Linked DNA regions of Oryctolagus cuniculus. The protein of the gene in region 2 interacts with the protein of the main gene of each other region in a pairwise test. Links are inferred from orthologs where the notes say so. Each region holds a gene or a part of one and is shown on either strand. Other genes may lie near its edges. The genes, in order: LSMEM1 and LSMEM2.

The links.
Region 1: the proteins of LSMEM2 (region 2) and LSMEM1 interact in binary tests that used the Homo sapiens proteins (3 or more experiments, as listed by UniProt). The two-hybrid records come from large-scale screens. The link is inferred for Oryctolagus cuniculus from reciprocal best matches to the Homo sapiens genes LSMEM2 and LSMEM1.

What each region holds. Positions count from the first base shown.
Region 1 is NC_091434.1:131,179,278-131,181,970, reverse strand, and holds the end of LSMEM1 (leucine-rich single-pass membrane protein 1), read left to right. Parts: intron 1-1,475; coding exon 1,476-1,606; 3' UTR 1,607-2,069; downstream 2,070-2,693.
Region 2 is NC_091441.1:99,046,638-99,049,908, forward strand, and holds LSMEM2 (leucine-rich single-pass membrane protein 2), read right to left. Parts: upstream 1,795-3,271; 5' UTR 1,649-1,794; coding exon 1,234-1,648; intron 1,144-1,233; coding exon 958-1,143; coding exon of another isoform or gene 831-957; coding exon 697-830; 3' UTR 621-696; downstream 1-620.

The DNA.
Region 1 (2,693 bases), on a different chromosome or scaffold from region 2:
GTGCATGGTGTTTCTACCCCTTCTGCATGTTATGCCCACCGAGCCTGCCAGTTTTCTCACTGAACCCTGTACACAATCATGGGGAATTACTTTGATTTTTTTCTCCAGATCATTTAAGAGCAGAAGGAGTCTGAGGGGGAGAGTGCCGCTTTTGCTGGGTTGCATCATGCTGTCATTTCTTCTGCCCTTTCCTGCCTTCAAACATTCTGAAATTGTACTCATGTGGAGGGAGATTTCCTGGGGGAGAAATGATGTCACATGTTACAGATGACTTTAGCTCCACACTTTCCCCCAGAAGCAAGTATTTTTTCTGCATAGCACTGCAGCTGTGTCCAAGACTCATGTCTTGAACCATATTTTATCCAACATAATTTTTCTAACTTGAGCAAGACATAACTGTTGGGCATGTGAATCTTTCATGTTTGTTATCAACTTAGCCCAATAGCCAGCCTGTTATCAACATTATCAGCCTCTGAAAGATGCTTTCAAATAAACCTCAAAATGGAAATGATAAGGAGCTCAAATAGAAAGCAGTGATTTTGTTCTTAGTTCTTGGAAATTTTAACTCTGATAAACAGATCTCCTCCAAATGTTCCATTCCCTTGCTTAACTGTAATGCTGAGTATTGCTTGTTTGGAAAATATTGTGCCTCTTTGCTCAGGAGTGGTCTGAGGAGAATTATTACACATTCATTACAGGCTGGTAATTCAGAGCAAACAAATCAAAATAGGATGGAACTTGAAGAATGTCATTTACCCAATGATTGGGATAAATCATTTTCTGAGAATGGCTGTAGAAATGAGACAATGCCACAGTCACTTCTAGGGAGATAATCAGACATGCTGGCAATTTCTGTTGGCCACTCACAATGATCAATTTCTCAGCCAATGTCTGTGTGGAGCTGCCAATGGGACTCCAGGCTGGCATCATTAGGTTGTAAAGATTTTAGCTCCCTTAATAGACAGCTTCAGTCTTTTTTTATTATATTTTTTTTGACAGGCAGAGTGGACAGTGAGAGAGAGAGAGAGACAGAGAGAAAGGTCTTGCTTTGCCGTTTGTTCACCCTCCAATGGCCACCGCGGCAGGCGCGCTGCAGCTGGTGTACCACACTGATCTGATGGCAGGAGCCAGGTACTTATCCTGGTCTCCCATGGGGTGCAGGGCCCAAGCACTTGGGCCATCCTCCACTGCACTCCCTGGCCACAGCAGAGAGCTGGCCTGGAAGAGGGGCAACTGGGACAGAATCCGGCGCCCCGACTGGGACTAGAACCCGGTGTGCCGGCACCGCAAGGTGGAGGATTAGCCTAGTGAGCCGTGGTGCTGGCCGGCAGCTTCAGTCTTAACCAGTTTCTCTCCTGGCCTCCGGGACCCAGGGATTTGGGAACAGAGAATTGGTCAAGGGTGGCTTTCAGTGTTCAGCTGTGCACCAGTAGAACTCACTGGAAACCAGGGTAACACTGTTTTCCATTTTGAAGTCCAAACTGGAAACAGGATGGATGACGTGTCAAGACGACTAGTAGCTGAGGGAAAGGACATAGATGATCTGAAGAAAATCAACAACATGATCATAAAGCGACTCAACCTGCTGGATCCAGAACAGAACTGAAGAGATTTTGTGAGAGCAACTGCTAACACCTCAAGACTGAGCAAGTCATTTCTTCAAGGCAGCAGATTCTCTTAGCAGAGAGCCAGGCCTGTGCCAACCTGTGGCAAGCAGGGAAGGGAACAACTCCAAGGCAAACAGGATTGGGGAGAGCAGCTAGAAAGGGGGGTACTTCTCACAGTCTCACCTTCGGTAGGGTGCTTGAGACTTAACGGGGTGAAGAGTGGGTGGCTAGTGTGAAGGAAGATCCTGAGAAAACAGAATTGATCTGCATATGTACAATGTTCCTCACAAAAGGGGCATTGCCGCTGGGTTGAGTTCGCTGTGCCAGTTTGGTTCATTATGTCTCATGGAGCTTAGAAAATTCCTGCGAATGCCTAAAGAATTCATTGAGCTCTACTCAGTGTTGAAGAGAACCAGGTGGTCATTCTTTTCAATAAAGGTGCTTCTGCTCTGTGGCTGATTAGATGTTGACTTGTTTCTCTAGGGGCTGTGATGCGTGGGATTCAGAGCTGGTTTACCACCTGATACTTACTGGTGAAAACATGAGCAGTAGTTTTGTGGGTAGAGGTGGGACCAGGGGTCAAAAAGGAAAGACCAGGCTGTTAATTCAAGTGATGTTTACTGAGCTCCTAGTCTGTAAATCATCCTACAGGTGATCACATTCACATGTGGGACAAAGGAGATACATAGTTTTATAAATCCCTCAGCAGCCTACCAATTATTTTGGAAAAAAAAAATCTGACAGAATTGTGTTTGCTAAGCTATGGTATGAAATCCTGTGCTTGGAACATTTGGAACTTGCTTTGTTTTAGCACAAAAAACAAGGCACAAAATATATGACTGGGGTTTTTCAAATGAGGATATAGGACACAGGAATATCCATTTTAAGAGCATGCCGCCCAATAGCCTTGCATTCCTATTTTTATTTAGAGGCTACCAACAATTCTAAAAGCTAACAGGCACATAGGCAAGGTTATACATCAACTTAAGGTTTGGGAAAAAGAATTTGGTCTGGTGGTCTAAGATAGGAATTAGAGCTGTGTTATAAATCTTCAGATACAGGCCTTTTTAAATACTCATGTAAATT
Region 2 (3,271 bases):
GACATAGGGTGGGCAGCTGAGAACCAGGACACTGGGGCCCTGGCCCTTTGCCCCTGCACTGTCTCAGGAGGCCTGTGCAGAAGGGGACTGTCCCTTTCCTTTCTCAAGCCTTGCTCCCCGAGGTGGCCCACTTCCTTAGGGGGGTGGCAGCAAGGAGGCAAGGCTAGCTGGACTGAATCTGTATGCTGTTTTTAAAGATGATTCAAGATAATTAAAAGAATGCTCAGCTTCCATGCTCCTCACTCCTGGGTGTTTTTGCCAGCCCTCACGCCCAGCCATACCCCGGGCTTGGAGTCTCCCCAGTCTCACCTTTGCCCCGCCAGGCAGCGTCTTCTCAGGTGATCCCGGCTCCTACCGTCTCTGAGAGCCGAGGCTTGACCCCCACTGGGAGGCCCAGCAGAGTGGCAGCTAATTCTAGCTAATTCGGAACCACCCGGGGGTGGCCAGAGGACACTGACAGGCCAGCAGAGACATCCCCCCTGGAGGCTGGCGCCCCCTCCTCTGACCTGGGGCCACCCAAGCAGGACGCACCAGAAAGCATGGCCAGGCCTGGCCTGAAAGTCGGGGGGCACGGGAACCTGTGTATATAAAATCTCACCAAGGACTTCAAGTAGACGTGCTGACCGTGGCAAACACCTGCCAGTGGCAGCTTTATTCCCCCCCACACACACCCAGGCCCCAGGTCCAAGTGGTGTCTCAGCTGGGCGCTTGGGCCTCGCTGGAGTTGAGCCGCCGCAGCTGGCTGAGGCTGGCCAGGCGGAGTCTGAGCAGCGTCTCCTCCTGCGTGCGCAGCGTGTGCGCCAGGACACGCAAGGATTCACTCTGCAGCACTGGGGATGGGCAAGTGGGAGTCGGGATCTGCAGGCCTCAGGCCGCCCGGCCCGCCCTTCATTGCTGCAGCACCTGCAGTCGCTCTGGTCCCCACTGTCACCCCACCTTCCCGCTCCACGTACATACCGCTCAAGTAGACGGCCAGGACGGCAAGCGCCAGGCAGGTGAGGACCAACAGCGCCAGCAGCAGCAGGAACCCCCCACGGCCACACACGGGGCCGCAGCCAGCCTGGGCACACAGTGACGGGGGCAAGACACCCAGCAGCTCGTCCCAAGGTCGAGTCTCTTCAGTCAGGTAGGGGTGCAGTGAGCCTGTGGGGTGAACAGGACACCGGGGTGGGGGCAGTGCCCTTGCTCCCTCCCTGCCCCCAGTGCCTCCAGCCCACGCCTCTGCCCCCTCACCTCCGCTGTCCAGGTCACTGATGGACTCCACTCGGTGCAGGCGCACCTCTTGTACGTGGTTGGGGGCCAGCGGCCCCCTGCTCCTCTGGCTTGGCACTGATGCCACAGTGTCTGTAGGGGCAGTGTGAGGTTGATTCAGCTGGTGTAGCTCACCCCCTCCCTTCTCCCAGGTGGCCTCAGGCCACAGGGGCTTGGGGAAGATGGGGAATAGGAAGGCATTTGGTTCTACGTCCCCTAAAACTGATCGAGGAACGACCCTTGGTTGAGATGCAGGACCACCAGAGACCCCTGTCACCTGCTCTGCACAGCGACAGGAGGTGCACCGCTCCCACACAAGGGGCTTCAAGTACTCCGTGCCTGCTCCTTCAAGCAGTGGGTCAGCCTTGCAGGACCAATCCACGCATGCAGAATTCATCCCGACTCAGTCCATGCAGACCCTGTGAGGTAGCCATCAGGCGGCCCCGTGCCCGGCACCTTCTGGGAAGCAGCTCCATTCTAGCCACGGTGGTGCCCTTTCCCCTGGCCTCGGTCCAGCGAGTAACAGCCTCGCCGTGATGCTGCTCTGCTTCCACAAGGCCTGCTAGGTCCACTTCACTGCAGGACCCTTGGTTCTTAGGCCTCAGCTCCCTCCAGGCATCCCTGTCAGCTACCTAGGCCCTAGGTTGTTTGCAGTTCCGTTTGGAAATCAACCCCCTCACACCCACCATTCAGTGTGCAGGCGCCTCTGTTTCCCCAGAGTTAAGGACAGTTACAGAAGAGGAACACTGATCCAAGAGCAAGATTTTCCTGTGTGTGTGTGTGAAACCTTTCATTAGACTGTCCTCCACAGGAGCTGTCCACAGCCCTCCAGAGTGCAACATCACCACCACTCAGCATCCCCACTGAGGAAATATTTTGCATGTGCACATGTGCTCATTTGGAAGACTAGAAATAGCCTTCCTCCATCAGTCTGATCGGACAACTTCGCCTAGGGAATGTGACCACACTGTGTGTGTGAGGGAGGGAGAGGGAGAGGGAGAGAAAAAGAAAAGACATCTTGATGATCCATTCATCACCTCGGCCTGTGTAGTCCCTGAGGTCTGTGTACTTCCCTTGTGATGTTAATTGTTCAGGTGCATTGAAGTCTAGTTTGTGATTTCTAAATAATTTAATTACATTCTTTTCTGGCTGTTGACTTGAATTTTAAAATCTGGGTCCTTTAAGAGCTCCAGATGCACACCTAGAAAGTAGCTAATAAAGTGGGCAGACACTTCCTGAGTGTGCAGGGACAGCCTTGGGAGCTCTGGATCTGTCCTGCTCAGGCCAGTAACTCACCCCTCCCGACCAGGTCGAAACTACGCCTCGCCCTGCTCCGGAGTACGTCAAACAAAAACGCGGTGCTAGTCACTCTGTCGGGATGCTGGTCTGAGACATACAGTTCCTTCTCTGCACTTTGCTATGCTTTCCCACGCTTTCTAAATCCTACTGGGGAGTCGGCTATAGGAAAAACACACAGTAAATATTAAGACCCCAAATGAAAGCAAACAGCACTACCAGGGCCAGGCTCCCCTCCTGCAGTGCAGACTTGAGAATGTGGTGAGAGGAGCTGGCCAGCCACACCAAGCAGAGTTGTGGGCCAGGGAGCCCTATGCAGGCCCCCCCACACACCCAGGCACTTTCCTGTAGCTTCCTGGATCCCTACTGCTGTGGCCCCTCTGAGCCCAGCACTGAGATGTGGTGGACCCATAAGCATTGTGGGAACAGGCTGCTGACTAGCTGAGGGTCTCTGAATAGGCCAGGGGACCCCAACTCTGAACTAGTGGGGGATGTTTAAGCCCACGTTGGAGGAGGCCAGAAGCCTCTCTGCTTCCCAGTCCTGGCCAAGCGCCCACATGTTTCCTGGAACTAATGTCCACCCCCAACCCCAGCCTCTCTCCTTTCCTGAAGAAAGCTAATAGCCAGGCAGCTGCCCGGATGCCAACACCCACTTGGGCACAGCCCACAGTTGACTTATCCCTAGCAGGCAGCTCCCCCTAATCCTCCTTGCTGTGCTCAGCAG